Linked DNA regions of Tamandua tetradactyla. The protein of the gene in region 4 interacts with the protein of the main gene of each other region in a biochemical or structural test. Links are inferred from orthologs where the notes say so. Each region holds a gene or a part of one and is shown on either strand. Other genes may lie near its edges.

Region 1 (7,300 bases), on a different chromosome or scaffold from region 4:
CCTGTACCCTGCCATCTGCTGCCCTCCCGAGCCCTCCTGGGCCCAGCCCTGGCTTGTGGCTGAGAGCCCTGGGGGAGCGGGCCAGGCAGACGGGGCCTCCCTGCTGCCCCCTCCCTGCCCACCAGAAAGGTCAGCAGCTCCAATTTCGGGCCAGGCTCTTGGCACCAGGGCCCTGAGCACGGGGCCTGCCTGTTAACACATGTGCTAGGCCAAGGCCCACACCATGGGTGCTGGGGAGTGCCTGGGTGCCAGCAGCCCTGGGAAGCCTGGCCAAGCTTTAGGGAGGCACTGGCAGAATGGATGGTGAGGGTGCATCAGGACTGCAGGGAGAGGGGGCTGGCAGCAGTCCCTGCCTTGAGCCAGGGTCCCTATCCAATCCAGCACCCCAAGTGATGCCAGGGGATTCCCCAACACCCCTCCAGCCCTGCCCAGCCCCTGGCTGGCCACGCACAAGTCTGTGAAGTCATCCAGGGTCTCATCAGGAGTAAACACATCCAGCAGGCCGATTACCTGGGGGAAGAGGGGTGGGCAGGGGGACTGAGGTGTGTGGACAGCAGGGGCTGTGGCGTGGTGCTCCCCAACCCAATCCCTTCCCCACCTCTACCCCGCTGGCACTGGCTCCAGGCCGGACCCCCCGCACTGTCCCTGTCTCCCCACACTGCCCACTCACCAAGCAGCCCCGGCCGGGACACACGTGCCCACAGCCTCGGGCTATTTCTGGATGGTGACAGCCGGGATGTGCGGGGGTGGGGGTGGGGGTGGGAAAGTCAAGTCTGGCTGGCTCCAGGCCAAGCACAACAGGGTCAGCCCTTGGTCCTGCCTCCCCTTCTTGCTCTGCCCATGGACACTGGGACCCAGGGTGGGGCAGCCCTCAGGTTGTGAGCACTGCAGTCCTTCCCCAGGCTGAGACCCACAGCCCGCCGGCCCCACGGGGCCCCTGGTTGGGGAGGCGATGGAAGACAGGTAACCTGGGGCCAGGGCGGCCTGCTCGTGAGGATGGTGCCTACCAAGGTTGCAGGGCAGGTGGGGTGCAGAGGCCCAGCGGGCCCTGGGGAGCCTGCCATGTGCTAGAGTAACACAGGGGAGGCAGGTGGCTGGGTCAGGAGCAGGGAGGACCTCCAGTCCAGGTAACCCTAAAAGTGGCCCTGGAAAGCCCTTAAGCAGGGGCGGGACCCTCACCACCTCCTCAGGCCACTGTGCAGGATAGACCACATGAGGCAGGTGTAGACAGTGACCCCGCAGCCGCCAGGTCCAGTGTGGGGGGGGGAGGGTGGAATGCTAGGTCTCTGGTGTGCTGGGGGCTGTCAGAAAGGGACCACCTCCAGTGCAGGAGTCCCAGAGGGGACTTTGAGACCGCTGGAGGCTGCAGACCTAGATGTGCAGCCATCGAGGGTTCCAGCTGAGGAGGGCCTGGGGGGAGGGGAGCCCAGAGCCCACAAAGGCCCCCTTGGTCCACACAGAGCAAGCAGCAGGGAGGGAGGGGGTTGTAGGCGAGTAGAACAGAGCAGGTGGGCTGCGCGGCTATGGGAAGGATGCCCTAGGGAGAGGGCCAGGTGCCCAAAGGGCTGGTGGGATTGCTGGCTCAGTGGATGGCATGTCCACTGTGCCGGCCTGGGAGGGGCCGAACGGAGAGTCCGAGTCGGGTCGGGAAGGGTGCTGGTGAAGCTGGCCAGGACAGGAGTTAGGGTGCCTCCTCCTCACCCAGCCCAGGGTTTCACGGACGGGGGGGGGGGGGGGGGGGAGGCAGCCCCCATGAAGATCACGTCCCAGATGTGGCTCAGGGCAGAGGCTGAGTGCCCCAGGGCACAGGGTGGAGACAGAAGTCCCAGAGAACAAGTATTTGGCTGGAGAGCGGGCAGTGGCCAGAACCAAGGGCCCAGGTGCACTGATGTACATAGCGACCAGCCAAAGCTCACAGTGCTCAGCTCTCAGCCCGGAACTTAAGGCAGGGGTGTGGGGGGGTTTCCCTGGGGAGTCCGGACCTGTCCACCCCCCACCCTGTCCATGAAACCCTGGACTGGGTGAGGAGGAGGCACCCCAACCCCTGCCCTGGCCAGCATCCTGGGCGCCCCTCCTGAGTGGGACCCCAGGCTCTGCAGGGGGCTGGGACAGGTGCAGTCCCACTTGGAGAAGGAGGAACTATGAGGCAGGCGGAACAGAGGGGCCTGGGGAGGCTGAAGGGAAGTCTGGGGGGCCCTTCCAGGAAAAGTGCTGTGCCCAACTCCTCTCACCACGGTTCCCGGAATGGAGGCAGGATTTGGGGGCAAACCTGGAAGGCCAACTGAGCCCAGACCCGTCACAGCGGCGGTGGCAGGGGGCTGCCGCGAAAGGGAATCCATGCAGGCTCTACCCCAAACAAGGAGGCCTAGGCGTGGGGGAAAACGGTGTACGCCAGAAAGGTCCCTAGTCTGCCAATGTCTCCTGGGCCCCCACCTACACCCACCCCACAGGAAGGCCGGGGGGAGGGCCGGCCTTCCCGCAGGCGGCACTCCGGGGGGCGGGGCGAGCTGGGCGGGGCCGGGTGCGACCCCCCCGACTCACGTTCTCGTGGCGCATGTGCTTGAGGAGGCGCAGCTCGCGGTAGGCGCGCTTGGCGAACAGCTCCGACTGGAAGGGCCGGTACAGCTTCTTGATGGCCACCCTGGCGCCGGTGCGGCTGTCCACGGCCGAGCTGCGGGGTGGGCGGCTCAGCCTCGGCCGGGCCTCTCGCCCCCGCCCCGCCCCGCGCCGCGCCCGCGCTCACCACACCGCGCCATAGGCGCCGGAGCCCACGGGCTGCAGGTCGCGGTACTCGGCGCGCACCTCCCACTCGGTCTTGGTCACCTCCTGGCGGTAAAAGCCCTTGCGGGTGGGCGGCGGGGAGGTCATCGCTGCCCGGACGCCGGGCGCCGCGCTCCCGGAACCGGGGCCCGGCGGCCCTCTGCTGTCCCCTTTGGGGTCGCCGCCCTCCGGGCTCCCGCACCGCCGACTCCGGCCCGACCCCTGCCCGGCTCCTGCCGCGCTGCCCCACCCCGGCCCGCGACCAACCCGCCCCGGGGCCCGGCGCACGTGACGGCCCGCCCTGCGGAAACCCGAGGCGATGGGGGATGGCCCAGCCCCGGCCCCGCGAGGAGGCGGCGCGGCGGGACACTCGGAAAGCCGCTGGCTCCGCACTGGGCTGGCGCCCCGGATGCCCGGGTCCCCAGGGGCCGCAGCGCTCTGGTCTCCTCTTTACTGCCCACACCCAGTGCGCCGCCGGGCCTATGCTGCCCAACTTCTGTCCCCAACTCCTGGTCACTGTCCTGAGCCTCCCAGACCCAGCCCCCTACCCCCACCCTGAATCTCCTGGCAGGGGGTCTCCACCGCACCCCCTAGGATGCCCTACCCCCAGGCGGGTCCACCCATCTGCGATTAGGTCTTGCCTGCAGCCCCCCTAACATATGCGGGATTGGTTCTGTCTCCCAGACTTCTCAGGTGGCCACCCCAGTGTCCATCCTTCAACCCCTGTCCCCAAGCCTCCCATCCCCCCTCGGCCCTTCTGCACCCTGGCTCCCACTCCTCCCTCCACCTCTTCCCCCATCCCAAGGCCACTGTTAGTCCCTTTGCCTGCTCCCCCCACACACACCTGCCCCCTGCTTGTCCTATCTGTCCAACCTGGCTTCTCTCCCTCCCTGAAGGCTTGCCCAAGCCCCAGGGGTGGGGGGCCTCTCAGGCCCTGACCTCTCAGTGTAGGCATAGTCCTGTCATGGGTCTGGGTGCTCCTGAGGATGGAGCCTGGGGGTCCCCTCAAAGCTGATTGGTGGTGGGTGGCAGGATCCCAAGTGCCCCCTTCCCTGCCTTTTGGGGCCCCGCCTGCCAACCGTGAATCAGCAGCTCAGCAGCCTTGGGCATGGCCAGACCAGCTTTACACCTGGCCTTGGGGTCGGTGACCCTGGCACATGCACAGCCAGCTGATGGCAAGAGCAGCCCACAGCCAGCCCAGCCAGGAGCATGGCACATGCCACCCACAAAGCCACCTGCACCCCATGCCCTGGGCTGAGTGGGGTACTCTGCCTCCAGGAAGCCCCCCTGGCTTACTCCCTGGGGTGGAGCCCAGGGTTCCAGCACTCATAGGGGCCCTTGCTCCTTCAGACCAGGGCCCCTTCCCCCGCCCCACCCCTACTGGCCTTGGCCAGCCATGTCTCTAGAGCTTCCCAGGTACCTAAAGCCCTGCAGCCTTGGTGCCTAGGCCTATAGGATCCTGCCTACAGCCCCCCAGGTGGGAGCTGCAAAAAGCAGTGGGAGTAGGCTCAGGTGAGAGTGGCCTGCAGAGTTCAAGGTTGAAAGCAGCCTTCTTTTCTCTACACCACCCCCACCCCCCGGAGTCTGCATTAGCCAGAAGGGAAAGGCCTGGCCCCCAGGAGAGGAAGCATTTGCCTCTAGCGGTGCCCCAGCTGTTCTCTCACCAGGCTGCATGACTGCCTGGTATCCTGTGGGCCAGGCCAGGGTGGGTGCAGCCCATGGTGAGCCCCCCAGAGGTGGAGACAGCAAAGGCAGGGGGCCTAGCATGTCGGACACTGGTGGGGCATGAGGGAAGCCCTTTATTGAGCGCCCCTGTGTACAGGCACTTCACATCCAGTCCCCCCTAGGTACCCCCAGGGTAGGAGGTTACCACCCAGTCTCCAGGCAGGGGCCTACCCACAGAGGATGCTCGGTCAGTTCTATTGTGGGAGGAGGGGGACAAGGCGACCCCAGAACCCCAGCTGAAGGGCCATGAGGGTAGGGGAGGTAGAGGGCCGGCAAGGCTTCTTCATCAGCTCTGTCCAAAGTCCATGGGCCGGGGCATTCATGTGAAGGTCACGTCCATGTGTGCACCTGTGTGCTCTGCCCAACCTGGTGGCTTGAGATTGCAGCACAGATACGGGCCCTCCCTTGCCTCAGCTCCTTGGCTGCAATGCTCCCTTGCTCAGCAATCTGCTGTGGTTCTATGCACCCACAAAGGAAAGCCCTGGCATCTGCTCAAGTGGGTGCCCTCGGCCCAAGGAGCCCTTCATGGGTACCCAGCATGTGGGGAGGTGCAGAGCAACCCAACTCTGGCCTCTTCCTGGTCATGGGCTCCTAGCACCCACAGATTCACATGTGCCCAGACAGCACAGGTGAACACACGGGCCCCAGCTTTTCTGACGTGAAGCCTGTAGTGTCCCAGCCTGGCCAGCCACCAGGGAAACCCTGCCCAGCCTGGGGGGCACAGGTGGTCTCAGCACTCCCGGGGCAGACCCCCTTTGGCCTGAGCAGCTCTGATCCCTGGAACCATCCCTTTGAGTCCAGGGGGTCCTGGCGAACTCCCACTGTACACAGAGAACAGGGCACAGACAGACACCAGCCTGGGGGGCAGCCCCATGGTATGCAAATCCCCCATTGTGAAATCCAGAGGGAGACCCAGATGGCTGGGGGCGGGGGTGAAGGACACGGGCACATACTTGTTGCCGACACATGTGTGTGCAGGACCCCCTGGGCACGGTGAGCAGGCAAGTAGGCCCCAGGCCAGGTATGTGGGCTGCTGGGCCAGGGCTGCAGGGTGGCACCCGTCACAGAGTCCCAGGATGAGCAGGGTGCAGGCTTAGGCCCCTCTAGCAGTGTGGAGGTGGCAGGTGGGCTCCCCTTACTGCTCAATCTCCAGGCTCTTGGGTGGCTGTGGGGGGTCTGGGGGTTTGAAGCTGAGGACTTCCTGGTAGGTGAGCTCTGGGGGGCAATGGGGAAAGGATCAGCACAGACGGCCCAGTCTAGGCCCAGTGCGGTGCCTGCTCCCCTCGCTGCCCAGCTCTGCCTGTCCCAGCCTCCACCCCTGCGCACCCTTCCACTCTTCCACTGAGCGCTCAGCAGCCTCCGCGCTCTCATCGTAGGGTTCGGCCTCAGGCTCATCCTCGGGGTCGTGGTACTGGCTGAAGTAGGCATGGGCCAGGGCCTCGGCCGCGCTGAGCCGCTGCTCACTGTCCAGCACCAGCATCCTTCCCAGGAGGTCCACAGCTGTGGGCCGCGGGAGGGTCAGCCCCGCCTCCGGCCAGTGGAGGGCCCCACCCAGTCCCGGTCCATCCTCACCCAGGGGGTTGGCTCCGTGGAAGAGGCTCCCGAGGTCCTTCTGGGGCATGGAGGGCAGGGACTGGATGTATGTCCGGGCCTGGGGGCACATGGGGGAGGGCCTGAGGGGACCACACACCCTCTACCGCAGGCCCCGGACAGAGCAGGGACTCCAGAGAAGACCCCAGACCCAGGCACTACCCAGCCCTGGCTGGCACAGGGGCAGCCAGAGACCTGCCCCTTAACCCCTCTGACCGTAGCCCCTCACCTAACCCTCCTGTCCCCTCCTCCACCCCACTGCCCCTGGCCAAACCACTGCTACCAGTGTCAGGACTGTGCCCTCGCTGTGTCCCCTGCCCTGCCGTATCCCTTAAAGGGGCAGGGCACCTGCCTTGGCTCCTCTGGCAGTGCCCTGCACTCCCCATACAGAGCCTGCTTCCCATGGTGTCCCCCAGAGTGCCCGGGGCCTTAGTCCGCAGAGGGCGGGGGGGGAGGGGGCACCCACTCACGTGTTCCGAGGATATCTTGGCCAGAACCTCGGGGCTGGGGGTCCCCACCACCTCCATGATGCGTTTTAGCTGGTCGATGTCTGCCTCGGCTCAGGAAACACCCACTGGCCAGCAGGGGCCTGCCCAAGCCCCCCAGGGCAGAAGCCATGGGTGCTGCCCAGAGCCTGCTCCTCTCCCCGGCCAATGAGCCAGGGGGAACAGCCAGACAGGGAGGGCCTGAGACTGCCTGTCGCCCTGCCCACCCACAACTGGGAGGTCCTGGCTCCAACACCCCCCAACCCCTGCGGGGCCAAGGATACAGTCGTTTCCTGGAAAGAGGGCCTTTCCCTGCAGCAGCTCGGCCATGATGCAGCCCACCGACCAGATGTCGACTGTGGGGGTCAGGGCACAGGCTGCCATCAGTCTTGGCCCCCCTCCTCCCGGGGCGGCAGCCCGGTGACCCTCACCCACAATGGGGCTCAACCTGGTGTGGGAAGGCCCACTGGAGCCTCCCCCCTCAACGCAGAGGGCCCCCTGTAGGTCTGTTTGTGCATGCTGACCCCAGCCCTGCCTCACCCCATCACCGGGAAGGACCCCCTGGGGTGCATGGCCACCCTCCCCAGGCCATGGCCCCCACAGGACATGGATGCCCCACGCAGGCCCCACGGCCACCTGTCTGGTTGTAGTGCATCCAGTTGAGCATGATTTCTGGGGCCCGGTACCAGCGCGTGGCCACATAGCCAGTCATCTCCTCATCCGCCTGGCGGGCGAGCCCG
Region 2 (7,996 bases), on a different chromosome or scaffold from region 4:
AACAATTAGTTATAGAACCGATTCCAGAGTTTGGTATGGGTTACAGTTCCACAATTTTAGGTTCTTCCTTCTAGCTGCTCCAAGACACTGGGAGACTAAAAGAAATATCAATGTAATGATTCAGCAATCATACTCATTCTACCTTCTCTGTTAAAATTCCACCTTCTCCTTTGATCATTCTCCCAATCTTTAGGGGTATTTGGGCTATGCCCATTCTAAGTTTCTCATGTTGGAAAGGGGTGTTGATAATATGGGATAGGGGTATGGAACTAGTTGATGTTCTTGGAGAGGCTAGTTCCTCTGGGTTTTAGAACTTATCTGGCCTAGGAATCCCTCTGGAGGTTGTAGGTTTCTGAAAAGTATTCATAATGCATGGAATCTTTGTAGAATCTCCAATAAAGCCCTGGGTGATTTTTAGGGCTGGTAGGAATGGTTTTAGTTGGGGTTTGGCAAACCATGGTAAATAACAATATCTAGGTGAAGCTTGTGTAAGAGTAACCTCCAGAATAGCCTCTTGACTCTATCTGAACTCTCTCAGCCACTGATACCTTATTTTGTTACAACTCTTTTCCCCCTTTTGGTCATGAACCCTACCATTTATTTTTTAACTATGACCAATTGCTTTTATTTTTAATTACTAATAGCAGTGCAACTTACTGATATTTATAAATAATGGTAAATGAATTGTACTAAATTAAATCTTCCATTTTAATTTTGGGGCACTTTACATGCTCTATGGTTTTGTGGTTCCACTTCTCACAATAAGCATTAAACACCAGGGCAAAGCTCTCCAGCAGACTCCTCCCCACCAAATTCAAAGGAACAAAACAAACTTTCCTTTAACAGTCATTTTAAAATCACAAAAGATTACACTTGTTTCTGGATTTCAAACCCATGGGACTAAATGGTACCAAACTGTAGCATCCTGCCATATTTCTTTTTAAAGAAATTATACCCAATCCTCAAGGCCCCATCCAAAAACTTCCTTTTTCACTAAAGCTTTCACTGAACTCCCAACTGTTATTCTCCTCTGAACTCCAAATGCACTTTACATGAGTTTAAATAAATATGACCATGTTTTTTGTTCTATTCATGTTCTTGTTTTATTTTTCAAACTAGATCACACATTCACAAAGTATAGGGTATACTGGAAATAACATTTTCAGATGAGGAAAGGGATCCAGAGAAGCAAAGTGGCCTGCCCAAGATCTTATAGCCAGCTGGACTCTACATATAAACTCCACATAACCTGGCCCAGCCCAAGGTTATTTTATACATCCTGAGCTTCCTGAGGGTAGGGTCATGACTCGCACATTCACAGATGGGTTACTTAAATTGGTTAGAATGAACAGTCTTAAAGTCTCCACTTCCTTGAAAGTTCAGACTTTCATCAAAAGTACAAACATCAGTAAATGCAAACAAATACTGTTGAGTATCTTGCCAATGCTAAGGAATAAAACTGGAACTGTTACATAATAAGATTTCCAAGAGTTACATTGGGTTGCACTAGGATTATAAAAACATGGCCTTTCTCAATTTTTCAAATCGATCAGTTATGAGAATATCAGCAGTAATATGTGCTGCTTCTTTCTTAGCAGCATAAGTCTTCATCGTCTTAGTTGTTTGAATTTATGCAATACTGACATTTTGAGTCATTTTCTAAGAATTAATGATTGAAACTGAAAATAATCACTATATTTATCTTCATACTGAAAAACTGATTGCCATTCTTACCTAACAAAAATCTTGTGATTTACAAAAATCCCTCATTGACCTAAATATAACATTTAGAATGATAAAACTAAGTAGCCAGAGTTCTGACTGTTCCAACACTATAATTTAGAACAGGGACTAGCATTACACACAAAAATTAAATATTGGTTGGAATCCCGATATCGTACAAAAAAAATGTTAGTAGAAGAATTTTTTTACTTGCTTTTAGAGAATAGCAAAGCACATTCAATCAATAGGTAGGATTAAAAAGAATGTTCTTTCCACCGCATGGGCCATGATCTAGTTTCTCCCTTAGCAGCCGATCAGAAGAGCACAATGCTACTTCTTTTACTGTTAAATCAGTCAAATTCCTCCCCTGCCTTAGGAAATCAACGAGCCCATTTTACCTGTCAATGTATTAAAGGACAGAAGTATTCTGAGTTAAAACAATTACAAACCTTAGTATCGTAGTACAGAATATCCATTTCAATTATAATTTCTTTCTCCTGGAGGAAATGAAACATTTTTAACCTTCCATAAACAATCTGTAAAAGCCTGACAAGTTTCATGTTCCCGGGCACTCAAATCCATTTTAAAAGCTGAAGTGATACAACAGTATTTTTTTTTTTTTTTTTGAGTGAGACTATACTTACTTTTCACTAGATTTAGAATAACTTCTTCTCTTTTACTGTTTTCTCTTGACCTTCCACCCTGGTCACGACAGACAGACACGCGGGACTCATGCGTGGGGGTGGGCGGAAGAGAGCGCAGGCTGACAGTTCGCCGGCTGCCACCGGCACCGCAGGCTCTGCCCGGCAGAGCGGCTCCTCGGAGGCCCAAGGCCTGGAGGCTCTCCCTGCAGGCCAGGCGCGGGTTCCCGGGGCAAGGATCGGTTCCGACCATCGCCAGAGGCGGGTTCGGCCCGCACAGGCCGGCTCCGGCCTTCGGTTTGCCAGCCTGCAGCAGCCCCTGGACCCAAGCTAGCGGGGACCGCGTAGACCGGCGGCCACAACCCCATAGACTAGGGCTTGGGAGGAGAGGAAGCTGAACCCGCTATACCGCCCCAGACCTACCTGCAGGGGAGAGCGGGACTCCTGGACAGCGGCCACGGGCCCGTGGCGGGCACCGAGGCTGCCGGAGCGCGTTGCGGGGCCCCAAATATCCCGGGAGGAAAAGAGGGAGCAGACAAGGAGAGGCGGGCAGCACCCGTCGCGAAGTCGCGGGCACCTGGTTTTCCGCTCAGCACCAGGCCACTAGCGCCACCACCACCGTCGCCATTTTGCCTTCCACTCCGTCGCCGCCGCCGCAGGTTTCCCGGATGTGGGCATTTCCCGGCGTCGCTTGCGCGGTCAGGTCTGGCGGGATCTCGCTGGCAGGCACCCTAGAGCCAGACTCCACTGGAGCGAGCGCGATGCCGGTGGACCCCGGTCCGGTCTTCAGGTTCCCAGGACTCGGGTCCCCGACCAAACCCTTAAGACCCGGTGACCCCGGATCCCTAGACCTTCTGACCTTGGGAACCAGCACCCGGGCCCTATGGACCTCCGATCCCGGGCCCTACCCCTGAGCCCGGGTCCTGGATGAGTCTTCCTGGACCCGGAACTCCAGATTTCGGCCGGCGCCTCTCTGCTGCAAGTCAGTGAGCTTCGCCCATGTGGCGCCTGCCTTTTTCGGTCCAATGATTCGCCCCGTTTGTGGGACAAGGCCCTTCCCCCGCCCATGCCTACCCCTTTCTATTTCGATCTTTCTCTTTTATCTGTAGAGTTCTTTCTATGGATCGGTCTTCAGGAGCTTAATTCTCTGAAGAAGGAAACAGCAGTGAGTTGCATTCTGAAACCTCGCTGTGGACATCAGATTCAGGATTTCTAGAGGCTTTGATTTGTTTATCATACTTTACCCTTAATACACCTTTGAGCTTCAAGAATATGTATTTTCTGAAATCAGCCAAATAATACCTTCCTTGATCACGGCAAATTGTTGAACAGCTTTTAGATCTTTGTCCACCATTTAGATAGAAAGAGAGGTAATATTGCTATAATTAGAATAAGAGTGAGGGATGTGAGTTTTATTTCCTGTTAAGTTGAATTGAAAGTTTGGAATAGGATCAGTGGGTGTCTTAGTTTGCCAATCTATTTGGGTTATTTAGAGAAACAGAACCAAAATGAAATATCTATAAATATGAAATTTTATAAAAGTGTTTCATGCACCTGTGAGACATGCATGAGTCCAAATTCCATAGGGCCAGTTGATAACAGGCCACTCCGACAAAGCCTCTGGAGAGGCTTGCTGAAGAAATGAAGGTTCTCTCTTCTCCCTTAAAAATCTTCAACTGATTGCTTTAAATTAAAAGGCTTCAACTGATTGGATTTTCTCATTGTGGAAGATACTCCTTTAGTTGATTGTAGGTGTAATCAGCCACAGATGCAGTCAACTGACTGATGATTTAATAAACCAGTCTTTTGGTTTATAAACCAGCCAGGAAATGTTTTTGAATAATGGTTAGGCCAGTACTTGCTTGACCACACAACTGGGCACCATCACCTGACCAAGTCCGCACATGAACCACAACCAGGCTGCTATGACAAATACCACACAATGTGTTGGCTTAGCAACAGGAATTTATTGGCTCACAGTTTGTAAGGCTAGAAGTCCACACTCAAGGCAGGAGCAAGACCATGCTTTCTTTTCCCAAATTGTGTAGTTGCCACAATCCTTGGGGTTCCTTGACTTGCATCTCTGCCTCCTGTCACGTGATGATCTCTCCTTGTGTCTGCTCCTTGGGTTTCTGCTGACTGCTAGCTTCTGGCTCCTGGCTGCTCTATGACCTTCTCTGAGCTTCTCTAACTTCTCTTTATAAAGCTTCTAGTAATATGGATTAAGGCCCACCCTGTGTCAGTTCCTCACACCTTAATTAAAATAACATCTTAAAGTTTTGTTTACAATGTGTTCACAGCTACAGGAATGTAGACTAAGATGAAGAACTTGTATATGGTTGCGGTACATAATTCAGGCTTAATAGTCACTGGGTTTGTGATGTTTGGAGGCACTGTCCACCCTTTGTGAACAAAGCCTTGCCAGTTCCAGCCCTAGAAAATATATACAAATAGCATTTTCAAATATCTCCTTTGTTCCTTTTTCTGTTAGAGTAAAATTTTTGTTTTAAGAAAATAAGCTAGCATATGACCCAGCAATTCCACTTCTTGGTATATACTCCTGTGTCAGTTTGCTATGCTGCAATATATACCAGAAATGGGTTGACATTTACAATGAGGATTTATTAATTTACAATTTACAGTTCTTAGGTCATGAAAATATCCCAATTACGGCAGAAAACATCCCAGTTAACGCAGAGCACAGGTATCTCTGTGCTGCCAGCATCTGAGACACCTCTGTCAGATGGGAAGGCACATGGCCAGTGTCCCAGGTTTCGTTGCCTTCAGGTCTGGTTCTAGTGGCTTCCTCTGTGGGTCCTCTTAGGTCCTCTGGGGGTTTTTCTCTCCAAGCTCTGAGTGTTTCTCTATGAGATCCCTGGGCTTTTTCTTTTTCTGTCTTTTATCCTGTCACAAAGAACTCTAGTAAAAGGATCAAGACCCACCTTGAATGGGGTGTGTCACATCTCAATTGAAATAACCTAACAAAAAGGTCCCACCCACAATAGGTCCATACCTACAAGAATGGATTAAAAGACATGGTCTTTTCTGTGGTACGTAAGAGCTTCAAACCAGCACAATCCCAAAAACTGGAAGTATCTGACTTGAACAGATACTTGTACACTAAAGTTCATAGTAGGGTTATCCCCAAAGGTAGCCAAAAGGTGGATGTGTCCATCAACAGATGAATGGATAAACAAAATGTATATACATATAATGGGATCTTTTTCAACTGTAAAAAGTAATGAAATTCTGATATGTGCTATATGTGCTAGAACACAGGTGAACCCTGAAGACATTGAGTGAAATAAGCCAGACACAAAAAGACAAATATTGTATGATCCTACTTATATACAATACCTAAAAGAAGCAAATTTTATAGAGACAGATAATAGATTATAGATTACCAGGGGGTAGGGAGGGGAAGAGAGAGTTATTGCTTAATGAGAGCAGAGGTTCTGTTTGAGGTGTTTAAAAAGTTGGGGTAATGAATATTGGTGATAGTAACACAATATTGTGAATGTTACTACTGAATTGCACCTCTGAAAGTGGTTAAAATGGGAAATGTTGAGTTGTACATATATTACTGCAATAAAATATTCAGATACACAATCCTGAGTAAGACAAGCAGGTATGTGAATATATTAGTTCATATAATTCATATAATTTTAGGGCCGAAAGGAACCTAAATGTTATTTAATCCTCCATTTGAAGAAAATAACACCTAGGGCTATTAAGTGGCCCACCTCCGGTCATATCCCCTAACTTTCACAGATTGGAACTTAATCTTTTATTTTAAAAGCATTTTTTCATTTGAATTTCTGGATACAGTCGCCACTAGTTACTTTAACATCAGGAAAAGAAGTCTAATTTTTTTTTTAGCTTTTCATTGTAGCAACATACATAACTCAAAATTTCCCATTTTAACTACTTTCAGGTGTGTTATTCGGTAGATTAGTAGCAATCACAATATTGTGGTACCATCACCAGTATACATCTGTAAGATCCTATTGCCCCCAGAGTCTTGTCACCTCTGTCACCAATCTAAGAATCTTCTTCACTTAAACTCCTTGGTTTTCTTTAAGCCTAAAGGAGCCTATATTTGTAAACCATTGTCCTTAGAAAAATTTTTAGATAATTCAAGGAGTGCAGTGCATTGCCCTGTGTGGGACTATGAGAAGATTTACTACTATGAAGTAGTAGGGGAGAAGATCAGGGAAAGGAGACAAGGAATGATCAGGAGAGAAGGTACAACTGACAAGATGGAAAGTGGCTGTAACTGTGCAGCATGAAAGGGATGCTGGACATGTAAGAATGGCAAAGACTGACATTGCATTTGAAGGTTTTTCTTTTGCTGTTATAGAAAACCCTTCAATGTTTTATGGGGGGTGGTTGTGGTTTCATTTTGTCATTAGCAATAGATAATGGGGGCCAAATTTATGCTTGGGTGCTTGTACCAAGGAAGAGGTAGCCCACATCTATGAAGTGTGGAGACCAATGTGGTCCTGAGCATATCAACCTTCCCCAACTCATACGATCTAAGGGAAGGATTTGGAATCACACAGGTTGTGGAAATCAAGGTCAGAAGAGTAGGGTCCCATCACATTATACATCAGATGTCTTAATTTGTGCAAGTGTAGTCAAGGTTTCCAGTTCTTTGTTAGACAATTGATTCCTGTGATTTTTCTTGTTCATTTTCTCAAGACTTGTCTCAAATAGGATGACCCCTCATCTAGAATCCTGAGTAACAGAAATAATGTGCTAAATTGATCATCAGGATTTTATTAATCTCTTTTCTCAAATGAAGTGATAAGGGACATGCCCATAAATCATTCTCATAAAGCCTCCAAAGATTAAAGACAGTAGGTAGACAGATACTCCAAATAGCAGCTTTCTGCTAATCTCTCTTCTGAACTGTAAGCTCCCTGAAGGTAGAAAGAGTTGTACTGTACATTGCTATATTCTAGCTCCAGGCACTGCCTGACATATGGTAGATGTGCAATATATATTTAACTAAAATATGAAATAGGTTTTTAAAATTTATTTTTGGTTGTGGTAAAATACATGTTACAATCATTTTAACCATTTTAAGTGGACAATTCTTTGACATTAAGTACACTGATGATACTGTATAACTTTCACCACTATTTCAAACACACTATTATCATCATCATAAACCAAAACTCATACTCATTTAGCAATAACTCCCCATCCCCCTCCCTGCCACGCCTTGGAACCACTGTTCCACCTTCTGTCTCTATGAGTTTATCCTAAATATTTAATATAAGCGAGATCATACAATATTTGTCCTTTTGAGCCTGGATTATTTCATTCAACCTGATTTCTCCAAATTCATCAGTATTGTACCATGCACTTCACTTCTTTTCACGGCTCAATAATATTGCACTGTGTGGATATACCACATTTTATTTATCCATTAATCTGTTGATAGACATTTGGGTTGTTTCCAACTTTTGGCAATTGTGAATAATGCTGCAATGAACATCAGTGTGCAAATATCTGCCCAAGTACCAGCTTTCATGAAATAGGTTTTTAAGCACTTATACACAGCAAGTGAGGAAAGCAAGACATAAGTACAGGCTGTCTGAAACCCGTGCCTACATTCTTAATCACTT
Region 3 (7,624 bases), on a different chromosome or scaffold from region 4:
ATTTAACTAAAATTAAATAACAGCAAGATAGATGAAAGTTTCCTTAAATAATAAGAAATTAAATGACTTTTTTCTAAATAACCCATGGATCAAAATACAAAATCAAAGGATTTTGGAGGATATAGCTAAAGCAGTGCTAAGGGAATTTTTTAACAGGCAAGGATGACTTTATTCATAGTCACTAAGGGAAGGAAGAAGGGTAGAATTCAACTCTGAGGAAGGCATGGAGGTGCTTGAGTTTTATAGTTGAGTTAAGGGCAGTGAGAAAGTACCAGGGTGCCATCTGGGAAAGAAGAGAGAAGGAGGGCAGGACAGGGTTGATAATTCTGAATAACCAGTACTTGATATTCTCTTTTCTTTTTTTTCTACAGCTGGAGGTTTTGTTTGTTTGTTTTGCATTATTTTGTTGCTAAGGGAATCTTATAGCATCAAATACTTATGCCAGGAGAGAGATAGCTCCCTAATCAGTGACATAAGCATCATCTTAAGAAACCAGAAAAAGAAGAATATATTAAGGCCAAAACACTCAGAAGAAGTTAAGTAATAGAGATAAAACCAGATACCTATGAAACATAAAACCAATTGAGAAAATCAATGACATCAAATGGTACTTCTTTGAAAAGGTCAATAAAATCAATTCTAGACACTGATCAAAGACAAAAAAGAGAAAGATGGCACAAACTGCCAATATCAGAAATGAGAGAAAAGATACCACTACAGACCCTACGTGAATTAAATAGATAAGGGAATGTTAAGAACAATTTCACATCAATTAATTTGACAATATGGATGAAACAGACAAACTCCTTGAAAAACACAAACAACCAAAGCTCACACAGGAAGAAATAGACAACATGAATAGGTCTACATTTATTAAAGAAATTGAACACATCATTTTAAAATTTCCCACAGAAAAGCAAAGGCCTTGATGGCTTTACAGAGAAATCAAATCAGTATTTTAAAAAATAAATAACATCAACTCTACAGAAATTTTCCCAGAAAATATGAGGAGGGAACACTGCCCAACTCACTTTAAGGTGCCACCATTACCTTGATATCAAAATCAGACAAAGGCATTATAAAAGAAGGAAAAAAATTATACCTTATAAATATAAACTTAAAAATTCTTAATAAAATTTTAGCAAACCAAATCCAGCAACACATTAAAAAAATGACTGATCAAAGGAGGTTCATTCCAGGACTGCAATGTTAGCTTAACTTTCAAATCAAGGCAATCCACCATACTGAAAGATTAAAGCAAAAACCATGATCATCTCAAAGGACATAGAAAAAGCATTTGACACTATACTCATTCATGCCAAAATTAAAGATAGAAATGAATTTACTCAAACTAACAAAGAGCACCTTCAAAAAGACCTATGCCTGGCATCATACTGACACTTTCCCCTAAAATCACGAAAAGGGCATAGAAGCCTCTTACCACTTCTATTCAAAATTGTACTGAGGTTCTAACAGTGAATTAAGAAAATTTTTAAAAGTAAAAGCCACAAAGATTATTTTTTAAAATAATGCTTTATCATCTATGTAGAAATAACAAGGACTCTACAAAAAAAAAATCTTATTAGTTAACAAGGTCTAGGAGAAAAGATCTTTATATAGGAGATCATGTAAGTGAAAATAGCTGAGTAGAGAGCTTTAAAGACCCATCACTCCAAAGAAATATAGAGAAATGAAGCAAAACCTATCAGTTCAACTTTATTAGAATTCTTAAAAATAGTCAAAGGTTTAAAGCAACCAAGTAAATCAAGAAAAAGGCAACTTACAAATGGTTGGAAGACTTTGAGCATCTTACTTGCCCTTGCTTTACTCCACTTCCCAGCTGGGCAATGGTCTTGAAAATGACAGTTCATGTTCCCAGCATGGACCCTGGTCCCTGGTTCCAGAAGAAGAAAAGCAGATCTTATTCTCAAAAAAGTGTACTTGTCCTTTTTGACCTGTCTGGGAGCTTCCTGAAGTTCTGATACAAGGTGCTTGCCTTTGTTTCACCTAACAAGGAAATCTTTCAGGGCAGAAAAGTGACAACGCAGAGGACAATTCCCCCCAAAATTGTAAGTCAAATGAAAAATTCACTGCCATCTGGGACAAAAGAGTCCAGTTGAGGCAAAGGATAAGCAGGCCAAAAAGATGGGAGAGAAAATTGGGGCTAGAGAAGAGTTTCATTGGGAAATTAGAGCATAGAAAAGTGACCATACATACTAAGGAATTTACAAAGTCATGAGCATACCTAAGAAAGATGAATGCTCCAAAAAACAAAATACTTAAGACTAAGCTTTCACCTTTGCTGACTTCTAGGTTCAGTTAATTCAAAATGGATCATATATCTACAAGTTAAATAAAAAACTACAAAACTTCCAGAACAGAAAATCTAAGTGACCTGGTGTTTGGTGATGACTTTTAAGGTACACCACAAAAGCCATGTTCCATGAAAGAAAAAACTGATAAGCTGGACTATATTAAAATTTAAAGCTTCTGCTCTTCCAAAGACACTGTTAATAGAATGAAAAGACAAGCACAGGGTGAGAGAAAATCTCTGCAAAACACATATCTGAAAAGCACTTGTATCTAAAATACATAAAAACTCTTAAAACTCAGCAACAATTTTTAAAAACAATTCTAAAAAGGACAAAAGATCTGAGTGGATACCTCACCAAAGATGATACTGTTAAGAGAGAGCTGTCCTGCTGGTGTTGGGGCAAAGAATTAAAACAAGTCAAGGTGGGAAGATGGAGAGGTAGAAGTACTAGGAATCAGTCCCTCCACCAGAACAATGATCAAACAAGCCAGAACTGTTTGAATCAGCTAGAATACTGTACAGTATCCAGGAAAGAATAAGAGGAAGAAGCTGGAAAATTACAGTAAATACCTGTAAACGAGTCTCTCCACACAGTGGTTACCATCACCCATCACCCACTCTAGCAACATGCAACAGTCGGGTCCAGGCCCTTATGTAGCCTGCTGGTACCAGGGAAGGACAAAAATATCCACTGCCCCGAAGGTCTGTGCGAAGGTGGAACATGGGCCAATCACCAATAGCTGCTTTTGATGATCTATTTTGGATCACTAGGGCCCTGGCCCTGAGGGTGACCATTGTTCCAACCTGCCCCAGACAAAGGCCACAGAGGAAACTTAAGACAGTATGCTTCCTCAGAGCTCTAGAGGACAGCTGAAAGGCTGCATTTACTGGGCAGGGGCCCAGTCAATAGAGTGAAGCATAGGGGAGCCTTGTAAGAAGTTCCTGGCACCTTCCCTGGACCCTCTTTTAACCCTCCCCAGGGCAGTCTGTAGCTGGCAAGCTCACCATATGGGTTCCTGGCCTTATTCTGGCTGGGAAAGACTGACTTGGGAAAATCCTCCCTAGTGTCCCTGCCTCACCCCCACCCAGAATTTGGCTGCCAGGCAAAAGCAGCTTGAGACAATAAAAGTTCTGTAGGAAACAATTGAGTCAGAAGGCCTGGGCAAAGGATTACCTGTTTTAAGTCCAGCAGTACAATACACACAAGAGGATAAAGATCTGTTTTCTGGGAGGTACAAGAGCCATTCAAAGTCCTATAAAAAGGGGAAATCCAAAGGCCTCCAGGAAGCACAAGCCCAGGACAAGATACAGGCCCAGAAAAAGACAAGAAGGGCCCTGCACTTTGCATTCACCTTGGGCTGAACTTCGTGATATGTGAGTGCAGCTCTGATGAAGAACCAAACAACTCCAAGTCGGTTTGCAAAGACAGTGAAAAGTGCTTTTTGCTTACGTTTGCTCCATATTGTTACCTCTTGACACTCAAGAAAATCTCCATCATATCACCACCTGGTTACATACTCAAGAAACAGACATTTCAGGGAAAAAATCCCAGACTTAACATTTTAAAATATTAAAATATACAGTGCGCAACAAAACATTACATGACAAACAGAGACAAAGGAAATGACAGCCCATCCAAAAGAAGAGGATAAAAATCCAGAAAATATCAATGAAGAAAACCAGATTGTGGATATACTATAAAAACAGTATTTAAAAAATGATCTTCAATATGCTCAGGAGATGAAGGAAAATATTGAGAAAGAATTAAAGAATATCAGTATGCTGGTATGAAGCTACTGTGTATCCTGGAAAAGTCATGTTTTAATCCTGATTCAATCTTGTGGAGGAAGCCCTTTATTTTAATCTTGATTCAGTACTGTAGGGCTGAAACTTTTGATCAGATTATCTCCACAGAGATGTGGCATGCCCAAAAGGTCTATCAAAAGGTGTGACCTTTTAAGTAGGTGGAGTTGTGACTCTACCCATTCAAAGTGGGTCTGATTTGTTTACTAGAGGTCTTTAAAGGGGGTAATATTTCAAAGGACAGTTACTTCAGGACACAGATGTTTAGAGATGCTTGGAGTACCCATACACCTCCCTAGCTGACAGAGGTGTTCCATATCCATCAGCCTTCCTTGGATTAAGGTATCTTTGTCTGGATGCTTTAGTTTGTACATTTTTAAAGGCTTACAAGTATAAAATTATATGCTTAGAACTGTAAATTTGCAACTTATTAAATTTTCTTTTTAAAAGCCATTCCATTCCTGGCATATTGCATTCTAGCAGCTTAACAAGCTAATACAATCAGAAAAATGATGAACAAATAATATGAGAACCTCAGTAAAAAGAGAGAAGTTTTTAAAAGGAAACAAACAAGATAACTGGAGTTGAGAAGCAGAAAGGAAAAAGAATTATAAAAAGTGACAAAACCTAAGACATCTGTGGGACGCCATCAAGCATACCAATAAATACATCATGAAAGTCCCAGGAGAAGGAAAAAAAAAAAGAAAGAAAGAAGCAGGTGGAATATTCAAACAAATAATGACAGAAAAATTCCCAAACTTAATATGCACATCCAAGAAACCACCCCCCCAAAAAAAAACACAACACAGGATAAACATGAAGAAAAATAGGTCCCATCAAACTGTTAAATGCAAAAGACAAAGAAAAAGTTCTGAAGGCTGCAAGAGAAGAGCAGTGTATGCACAAGGAAACTTCAAGTAGATTAATTGCCAATTTCTCATTAGGAACCATGGAGGCAAAAAGGCACTGGGTCAAAATAATTAAAGTGCTGAAAGAAAATAACTGTCAATCAAGAATCTGATATGTGGCAAGACTTTCAAAAATGAGGGAGAGAGAAACAAAAGCTGAGGTAGTTCATCACCCCTAGACCTGCACTACAAGCAGTGTTAAAGGTTGTTCTTCAGGCTGGGAGGAAAGGACGGTAGACAACAGTTCAAAGCATTTGGGTGAATATAAACGCCAGTAATATTGTATTTTATTTTTTGGTAAGCAACTCCACTTCTTACTTCCCACAGTAGCTAACATACAAAGGCATAAAAAGTAATGGAAAATCTTAGTAAAAAAAAAAATAATTTTTACTACAATGTAAAAAGATATGATTCATAACCAGTACAAAAAAAAGGGAGGGGGACAGAGGGAGGGTGTAGGAATGGCATAGTAGTATACTACTGAAGTCAAGTTGCTATCAAATAAAATATGATTATTATATATTTCCGATGTTAGATTGTAACCCCATGGTAGCCACAAGGAAAATATATCCTTATACAAAAGAGAAGGGACTTAAAATGTTACAATAAAAAATACAATACAAAAAATAAATAAATAAATATTAAAGTAGACATTAACAGAAGAATTGAGGGACAAAAAAACAAATAAACCTTACAACAACTAAATGGCAGAAAAAAATTCTGAATTCTCAGGAGTGATTTTAAATGTAAACAGATTAAACACTCTAGTCAAAAGGCAGAAAATGACAGAAAAGATTTTTTAAAAACGTGACCCAACTATTTGCCATTTACAAGAGACTCACCTTAAGTTCATAGACATAAGTAAGTAGAAAGTGAAATAGTATACAATGGAAAAAGTATACAACGCAAGTAGGAACCAGAAGAGAGTTGAGGTAGTTCTACTAATATTAGATAAAACTGACTTTACATCAAAAACTGAGACACATATGCTAATTCACACTAATAAAGGGGACAATTCATAAGATATAGCAATTGCAAATATATATGCACCTAATAGAAAAGCCCCAAAATATATGAGGAAAATACTGATAGATCTGAAAGGAAGAATGAATATACACTTCCACATTAATAGTAGATCTAAATACACATTTTCACTAATGGTTAGAACATCTAGACAAATGATCAATAAGGAAATACAATACTGGAATGACACCCTAGATGTTATACACATATATAGAACAGTTCACCCAACAACAGTAGAGTACACATAATCCTCAAATGCAGATGAATCATTCTCCAGTGTAGACCACATCTTAGGTCATAAAATAAGTCTCAAAATGTTTCAATATTTCAAAAATATTGAAATCAGACAATGTACCTTCTCAAAGCACAATGGAATGAAACTAGAAATCAATAACAGAAGGTAAAATGGAATATTTAAAAATATGTGGAAATAAAGCAACTTAACCAATGAACTAAATAGAAAATTATAAAGGAAATTACCAAACATCTTCAGACAAATGAAAATTAAAGTACATTATACAAAAACTTAAGGGATGTAGCAAAGGGAGAGCTAAGAGTGAAAATTATACCTCTAAATATTTGTATTTTAAAAGAAGAAATATTTCAAATCAGGATGACCTAATCTCAAAACTGAAAAAAAAAAAATAGAAAAATAAAAGCATACTAAACCTAAAGCAAGCAGAATAAAAGAAATAAAAATTAAGGCAGACATAAAAAGAAACAGAGAACAAAAACCAACAAAGATTATCAACAAAATTAAAAATTGGTTCTTTGAAAAGATCAATAAAATTAACTAACCTTTTGCTAGACTGACAAAAGAAAAAAGAAAGAGGAAGCAAAGAATTAAAATCGGAAATGAAAAGGAGGTGGACTCTCCACCAACCCTGCTGTAACAAAAGGACTATCAGGGAATACTGTGAATAAATTAGATAACCTAGATGAAATAGACAAATTCCTAGAAACACACAAACTATCTACACTGATTAAGAAGAAATAGAGTAATCCAGACAAATTTCCTCATTTGCAGATGAGGGTTTGAGGTCCGGCTTAAGGGATGTTCGCCAAACCACCCAGTGGGTAAGAACTAGATCTGGGATGTGAACCAAGGTTTATTTAAACATCTACCCAGTCCGGGAAAACAAATGTAGCATTATTCTGTATCCTATAGGATAGCCAGAGACAGAACAGGGCAAAACACATTGACTGCTTTATTCCAACTCCTAGCATTTCCAAAATCTGCATGCTGGCTGCTCTCCCTCTGAGAGTTCTTTTAACTGGCAATTCTTGTCTAGAACACTGGAAAGTCAAGTATAGACTTTCAAGAAAGGGTTAGAGGATTATTACCTTAATCAACTTGACAATACTCCTCAAAAGACCTTCCTTCCTTTTCATGAGAATGAAACGGAGGCTAGTAAAAAATTGGAAATGACCCAGGATTCCTGAAATTAGGGATATGGTTCAATAAATGATGGTACATTAAGAACATAGAATACTAGGCAGTTGTTAAAATGATAACTATGAAGACTATAGAAATGAAAAAAATGCTATAAATATAAGAAATAAGAGAAAGAAATAA
Region 4 (7,101 bases):
GGGTTCATCCTGCCCGGTATTCCAGGCCTGCCAAGAAACAATGCTGGGTATTAGAGTGTTCAAGTAAGGTCTATCGAAAGTGGACTATTACCCTGTAGCCAGGCAATAGAAATCTTGTGACTACTGCAGGTGTCCTCAAGGGCAGCAGGAATTATGAGATCTGTAACCTGTGGCAAGGTCCCCAGGGAAAAGGGATAAAGGATATGGGTAGGGGAGGAAGTAATTGGGGCAGCAGGGCCATAGGATCCTGAATTCAAACCTGTTTGTAGCTCTGAGAAGATCAGGATGGCAGCCAGTTCCAGACCCACCCAAGCAGTCACTACCAACCTTGACTCACGAGAAGTACAAAGGTAAATTCCGGCTCCACCCCGGGACTCCTCTCAGACACGAATCCTCATGTATGGTTTTGGGGTGGGGCCATTTGCTCCACCTTATTTAACCTAGTAAGGAGCCTATAGAAAACAGTCTTCAGCTACCACACTGAGTACATGTAAGCTCTATGGATGACGTGCATTGTGCTAGTGAAAGGCATCCTGGGCCTTGGAGTTCTTCTGCCGCTGATCTCCCCTCACTCCCCCAGCCCCCAAACCTGGGCTAAACACACAAGCTAGGGTCCAGTTGTTGCTGGGTCTTCAGTTCAGTTACAGTTCCATAAAACCACTCATCTCCTGGTAGCGAGGAGGTGATTTCAGACAATTCCATTCTGACTAGCCCCCATAAACTCACAAGGAGGCCCTCACCCTATGGCCCCCCAACCAAGGGAAAAGGAACCTGCTCAGGGGGCTTTTCAGACTCAGAGAAGCAACAGAGACCTTGAGTGAAAACCCTGAATTTAATGTGACATTGGGGGAGCCCCATCCCTCCCTTTATACCACCCAACCATATGGCCTGTTGTGAGTTGGGTGAGGGCTGCCCCCAGATTCCGCCCTGCGGCTCTGGGTGCCATCCTGTTCCTCTGCGCTCAGTCAGCCTCCTGGGCCCGTCTCTCTGTGAATCTCCTGGGGGACACAGAGAGAAGACATCATATGGGCTTTGCCATCTTAGCTCCATAATTCCTATCTTCAACCCACCCCTTCCTATCCATTGTCTTCTATATCCCTTACCTTCTCGCGTATTCATACAATGCCTGCTTGCGCTCCTGCAAGCTCTCCTGCCGGGCCCAGGAGGACTTGGCAAATGTTAGGGCTGTGGGCTGAGGGGTCACCGGGCTAGAGCTGGGGAACTGAGGTGATCACAATGTCAGAGGGCTTGCGAAGTCATCATCATTAAATGCGCATCAAGTGCCTACTTTGCAAGAGAGGCACCGTGCTAGGGTCTCAGGATAAAAAAAGAGACTTCAGGGCTAGGGAGTATGTAGACTGCTCCACCCTACTCCCAGTCTCAGACCTGACCCTCGTCTCCTTGGTCTCACCTTGGGAGCAGAGGCTGTGGGAAGGGACTGGGTCCCCTCAGTGATGTCTTCAGGCATGAAGGCCACGGCCCCCTCAAGCAGATTAGTGATGGTCAAGTCCACACAGCCAGTCCTGGCTGGGGAGAAGGGAAGAGAGAAGAGGGGAATCTGTTCCCTGTTTACCTTCTCCCCTCACAACCCACTTTTCTTCTCTCTGCCTGTTTCCCCATGTGAGGCTACCCTTTCCCATACCCAGGTCTCTCTGGATGACACCCAGTGGCACATGGGGCAAAACTTCCTTGACTCTCTGAGCCAGAGTTGCCAGTTGCGCATCAGGAGAAGGGCCAGGGGAGGGAGGGAAAGAAGACTGGACTGCAAAAAATAAATCAGAAACATGATGAGTGGAAAACTAGGAGGAAGGAGAGGCTGACTAGGACAGGAATAGGGCAGAAATTACAGAAGGTCTAAAAAAAAAAAAAAAAGCTCTGTGTATAGAGTCCACACACCTGACTGGGGGCGTAATCGGGGATGTCTTTGTCGCTTCATGTGCTCTGCTTTGTCTGCTGGAGTGAGCCGGGTACCTGTCTGGCCCAATTCCTTTGCCACCAACTAGGAGAATTGGAAGTTTGAAAGTGTTAGAATCTGAGGCCTCAAACTTTCCTCCCCCTCCCCCAGAGAGACCCTACCACCTGTTGCACACGGAGGGCAAACTCCTCATTCCCCTCCCCCAGCTGACGATGAAGAGGACGGAGCCACCTGTAAAAATAAAACAAACAATCCAGGGCCATGCTGGGGGCACCCGGGGTAAGGCTGTCATCTCCTCCCTACTCTTGGTACCTCTTTTCATGGAACAGTGGTGGTGAGGGGGGTAGATAGTAAATACTTTGTGTTGCCTCTGTGGTGGAACCTTGATATTAAAAGATCTGCAAATGGACAGGGCAGAGCCAGCTACTTCCTTGACCTTGAGGTGAGCTTCTCCCCAGCCACCAAAAAGTGAGGACGGTTAGTACCTTACTTGATACACCGTGAAAGGGACGAAAAGTGACCACAGCAGTTCTGAGACCCAGGAGGCATCTGACACCGTCTGAGGGAGGGTATGATGTGAGGCCTAAGCCAGGGCCACGGGTGGAAAAGTTCCCCTCCAAGCCCCAGAGATTCTCTGTCCAACAAACACTCACCACAGAGACCAGGGGTCTCTGAACTTGCAGGGCAAGAGGTTGTACCACATCCTGGATAGAAAATGGCCAGGAACTAAAAGAGAAATGAGAGAGAAGGATGGGCATCCAATCAGCCTAGTCAGCAGCTTATATGTAACTTAAAAAGGAAAACTGTCAAACCATATGACTAGATAAAGTGGGGTATAAAGGGATTCAGGGGACGGAACTAAAAGTGGACAGAAAGGAAATAAACTAGAGATGGGAGAGGGAAGGGATGAAGAAGAAAAAGTTGCGAAAATCCAAGGGGCCCCAAATCTGACCATCTACCCAGCTGAAGCCCAATATCTGTGCTTACCCACCTGAATCGTAGGAGCCCCTCACGGCCATTGGTGGCCTCCTCCTCAGGGAAGAGCAGCAGAGGGATGGGGGGAACCCTCGTGGAAGCACAGTATCTTCTGAGTGACTCCACCAACTCCCCCTGCCCATCCATCTCCATGAAGCCCCGAGACCAGCACACAAAACTGGGGGGACTATTGAGCAGAGGCTGGGAACAGAGAAGAAAGCAAGAATGGAGAAGAATGATGAAAACTGACAAGAGGGGTAGAGAAGCGGGGTTGGGGTAAAGTTCAGTATCTCGTGGTTCCCAGGGGAAACTAGAGCCAGCAGGTGGAGCGGCCGAGGGGAGCTTTGGGCCCCGGGGAACCGCTCTGGGAGACTCGCGGCTTCGTTCCCCCCCTACACACACTCACGGTGCTACAGGTCGTGAGCAGGTTAACTATGTTGTGGTCGAAAGGTGTCACGTGGTTGGAAATGAGCACCCTGACGCGATGATCCCGGAGTCCGGAGTCCTCCTGCCGGACTACCAGCCCCAACACCGCACACATGGTCCGCACCACGAACCTGGGGACACAGGCGGTGGTGACTGCGCGGCCTCAGGCCGGGCCCAGCCCTGACCCTCCCCGAGCGCCCGGGTCGGAACCTGCGGAGGACGCTGTCTGGCAGCGCGCAGCTGACCAGGAAGACGTGGATGCCGAGAAAGAGGCGCAGGACAAGGAGGCAGAACCCTACTGGTGCGTAGAGCAGCAGTGCGAGGAGCAAGAAGCCGTCACCCGGGAGCCTGAGGACGAAAGGCGGGCTGAGCGGGCGTCGAGGGCCGAGAGGAGGCGCAAGCCGTCTACTTCCCGCTGGGGTTCTTACCGGTGCGAGTCAAAGAGCCGCTCCGGCCCCGGTGCTGAGGGAGGCTCCATCACTGCTGCTTTAGGGGTGCCCGGCCACCGCCGCCGCCGCCATCTTCGTGCCCGGCCGCAGGGGCTCCTGGGAAGGCGGGGCCTTTGGGCCTCGGCCCAGGGTGCCGGGACCCGAAATCGGATCGAGTCGCCCCGGAAGGGCTAGCGGTTCCAGCATGCCCCGCGGCCTCCTTGGCCACCTCAGAACTCGCGCCCCGCGGGGACCACAGTTCCCGGCATTCGCGGGGTGGGGGCGGAGCCGGCCTCCTGGCCGCTGGGTACTGGCGCGCATTTCTGGAGGACTTCAGGTACCGGCGTGCCCCGCGTCCCGCTGTCCGCTTGCTCGCGTCCAGGGCACCGCCTCTGAGCCGGGCGGTCAGGAGACAGCCGAGGCGGAGCTCATGGCTGCGCTGAGGGCGGGGCGCGGTGTGGGCCAGAGCCTCTGGAGATGGCGGGCTTTGGGGGGTACTCGCTGGGGAACGGGACCCGTGTTGACCCCTGACCTCCGGGCCTTGCTGACGTCAGGAACTCCCGACGTTCGGGCCCGACTGACGTATGAGCGTCTCAATCCCCCGGCCCCGTCGTCGGCTGGGGACCCTGGACCTTGGGCATGTTTGACTTCGGGGGCTCCGGAATCCCGCGTGCGGCTGACCGCCGGGACTCCCGATCCCCAGAAGGCCTCAGAGACCCCCGGAACACGCCCGCGCGTGTGGCTGGCGGTGGCGCTGGGGGCCGGGGGAGCGGTGTTGTTGTTGTTATGGAGCGGGGGGCGAGGCCCCCAGGCGGTCTTAGCTGCGGTCCCTGGCCCGCCTCCCACTTCTCCCCGGAGCCAGTATAACTTCATTGCAGATGTGGTGGAGAAGACGGCACCTGCCGTTGTCTATATCGAGATCTTGGGCCGGTAACGGTGGGGTAGACCGGGAGGCCCCGGAGGGGTGGACAGGCAGGAGGGGTCAAAGCCTCCTCACATATGTGCTGCACCCCCATCCTAGGCACCCTTTCTCTGGCCGCGAGGTCCCTATCTCAAACGGCTCAGGATTCGTGGTGGCTGCGGATGGGCTCATCGTTACCAACGCCCATGTAGTGGCTGATAGACGTCGGGTCCGTGTGAGACTGCCCAGTGGTGACACGTATGAGGCTATGGTCACAGCTGTGGACCCCGTGGCGGACATCGCCACGCTCAGGATTCAGACCAAGGTGGGGGTCGAATTGGGACCCTCTCAAGGTGGGAGACTGTCTGGAACTTTGGATTTGGTTGCTTCTCCAGCTGACAGTTCTCTCTGGCCCCTTCTGCGGTAGGAACCTCTCCCCACGCTGCCCCTGGGCCGCTCAGCCGAGGTTCGGCAAGGGGAGTTTGTTGTCGCCATGGGAAGTCCCTTTGCACTGCAGAACACGATCACATCGGGCATTGTCAGCTCTGCTCAGCGCCCAGCCAGAGACCTGGGACTCCCCCAAACCAATGTGGAATACATCCAGACTGATGCAGCTATTGACGTGGGTTCTCATGCGAGAGAAAGGAGAAACTGGGTTGGAGGTGGGGAGACTGTGGTTCAGATTCAGGGACTGGGCTGCAAGAATGTTGCCACTCATTTATGGGCTAGGAAAGGATAAAATTTGGAGAGAGTGTCTACATCCTGGTTATGCCCCCAGGCTCAGGGTCCCAGGATCTCTTTCATGTTTTCTCCTTGTCCTGCAGTTTGGAAACTCTGGAGGTCCCCTGGTTAACCTGGTGAGTTGGACATCTTCTTAGAATGCCTGTCCCAGGTCAGTGTGGGGAGGGTGGGTTTTCCCTAATTCAAGGATGTTTGGTTAAGTTTCTTGTGTGCTGCCTCCCAGGATCCAAGCAGATCTCCCCAACATTCCCTGCTACCCTTGGTCCAGTGTCCCCCCAACCTGGACTATTTTGGGGGGCTATGGATCAGGGCCTGTGTCCCTACAGGATGGGGAGGTGATTGGGGTGAACACCATGAAGGTCACAGCTGGAATCTCCTTTGCCATCCCTTCTGATCGCCTTCGAGAATTTCTGCATCGTGGGGAAAAGAAGAGTGAGCCTGCTTTAGTGGGGAAGGAGATTCCTTTAAGTGGTGGGCAGAGCATAAGGAGGGGCTTTTATTGGGACTTGATTGAGAGGCGTCAGTTGGGAGGAGAGAGGGGGTAGGAAAGATAGCTGGGTTTCGTTGTGACTCATTTGTCCTTCTATCATAGATTCCTGGTTTGAAATCAGTGGGTCCCAGCGCCGCTACATTGGGGTGATGATGCTGACTCTGACTCCCAGGTAGGAGTGTTAGGGATAGTGACAGGGAGGACCACCGGTGTAATCAGTATTGGGCTAGGGGCACCCCTACTGGGCCTTGTTCCTCATTGCTGCCTTTTATCTAAGCCACCTCACATTTGGAGCTATCAGAACAGCTGTCCCTCTCATCACCTTGACTTTCTCATCCTGCTTCATTTGTACTGCTGCCACTGTATTGTTTTTGTCCTGCTCCTGCTTTGATTTAAAGCATTTGATCCATTAACCTGGTGTTTAAAGGCCATTTTCCATCTGTCTTATTTCAGCCTTCCAGACTTAGCTCCTGTTACTTTCTGTATGAATACTCTATTGCAGCCAACCTGGTTTCCTGCTCCCATGTTTTTATTTGTACTTTTCTTACTTTGTATGGTTAAATATCAGACCCGTCCTTCAAGGCTCAGCTCAAGTCTTGCTCTCCCCTTAGTCTTAGTCTTGCTCTCCCCTTAAGTCTCTTAGGACTTAAGAATGACATTAATGTCAATGATTTAACACTGTGTGTCATTTGGAACTAGTTATCTTTTATGTACATATTAGCTTTCCTAACTGCTAGAAGGCAGAAAGTGACCTGCCTTTGTATCTGTGGTACCTGGCCTGTGTCCTGTCTGTATGACTGTCAGTGTGTTGATGAGAGACATGCGGTGAACCCAGAGGGGGAGGGTGCAGCATGTGGATAACACAGTGACCTGTATCCTTATAGCATTCTGGCTGAACTACAGCTTCGAGAGCCAAGCTTTCCTGATGTTCAGCATGGCGTCCTCATCCATAAAGTCATCCTGGGCTCCCCTGCACACCGGTGAGGGAGAGGCTGTGCCAGGAGGGGAGGGTGGGTGAGCTGTGGGGCTGCCCTTGGATGGGGCTGCACACTCCCTCCCTTTTCTCTCTCCATCTTTCTCCCTAGGGCTGGTCTGCGGCCGGGTGATGTAATCTTGGCCATTGGGGAACAGCTAGTACAAAATGCTGAAGATGTTTATGAAGCTGTTCGAACCCAATCCCAGCTGGCAGTGCAGATCCGACGGGGACCAGAAACACTGACCCTGT

The links. The genes of interacting proteins can lie anywhere in the genome.
Region 1: of the proteins of HTRA2 (region 4) and MAPK12, one has a biochemical effect on the other in vitro, tested with the Homo sapiens proteins (2 studies listed by BioGRID and IntAct, with this or other methods). The link is inferred for Tamandua tetradactyla from reciprocal best matches to the Homo sapiens genes HTRA2 and MAPK12.
Region 2: the proteins of HTRA2 (region 4) and LATS1 form a complex in vitro, tested with the Homo sapiens proteins (2 studies listed by BioGRID, with this or other methods). The link is inferred for Tamandua tetradactyla from reciprocal best matches to the Homo sapiens genes HTRA2 and LATS1.
Region 3: of the proteins of HTRA2 (region 4) and CSN2, one has a biochemical effect on the other in vitro, tested with the Homo sapiens proteins (2 studies listed by BioGRID). The link is inferred for Tamandua tetradactyla from reciprocal best matches to the Homo sapiens genes HTRA2 and CSN2.

What each region holds. Positions count from the first base shown.
Region 1 is NC_135333.1:45,615,216-45,622,515, forward strand, and holds the start of MAPK12 (mitogen-activated protein kinase 12), read right to left. Parts: upstream 3,018-7,300; 5' UTR 2,869-3,017; coding exon 2,744-2,868; intron 2,672-2,743; coding exon 2,542-2,671; intron 511-2,541; coding exon 452-510; intron 1-451. Other genes in the region: MAPK11 (mitogen-activated protein kinase 11), read right to left, coding at 5,092-5,700, 5,812-5,985, 6,546-6,625, 6,845-6,916, 7,197-7,300. UniProt on the Homo sapiens protein: Serine/threonine kinase which acts as an essential component of the MAP kinase signal transduction pathway.
Region 2 is NC_135328.1:141,250,540-141,258,535, forward strand, and holds the start of LATS1 (serine/threonine-protein kinase LATS1), read right to left. Parts: upstream 3,018-7,996; 5' UTR 2,787-3,017; exon of another isoform or gene 2,471-2,786; intron 1-2,470. UniProt on the Homo sapiens protein: Negative regulator of YAP1 in the Hippo signaling pathway that plays a pivotal role in organ size control and tumor suppression by restricting proliferation and promoting apoptosis.
Region 3 is NC_135345.1:71,316,498-71,324,121, forward strand, and holds the start of CSN2 (beta-casein), read right to left. Parts: upstream 3,018-7,624; 5' UTR 2,885-3,017; intron 1,895-2,884; 5' UTR 1,785-1,894; intron 1-1,784. UniProt on the Homo sapiens protein: Important role in determination of the surface properties of the casein micelles.
Region 4 is NC_135343.1:48,419,255-48,426,355, forward strand, and holds the start of HTRA2 (serine protease HTRA2, mitochondrial), read left to right. Parts: upstream 1-4,101; 5' UTR 4,102-4,174; coding exon 4,175-4,674; intron 4,675-4,765; coding exon 4,766-4,970; intron 4,971-5,072; coding exon 5,073-5,267; intron 5,268-5,469; coding exon 5,470-5,502; intron 5,503-5,712; coding exon 5,713-5,818; intron 5,819-5,978; coding exon 5,979-6,048; intron 6,049-6,760; coding exon 6,761-6,856; intron 6,857-6,961; coding exon 6,962-7,101. Other genes in the region: lipid droplet-regulating VLDL assembly factor AUP1, read right to left, coding at 962-998, 1,104-1,222, 1,412-1,527, 1,643-1,762, 1,897-1,999, 2,080-2,146, 2,401-2,474, 2,569-2,641 and 4 more.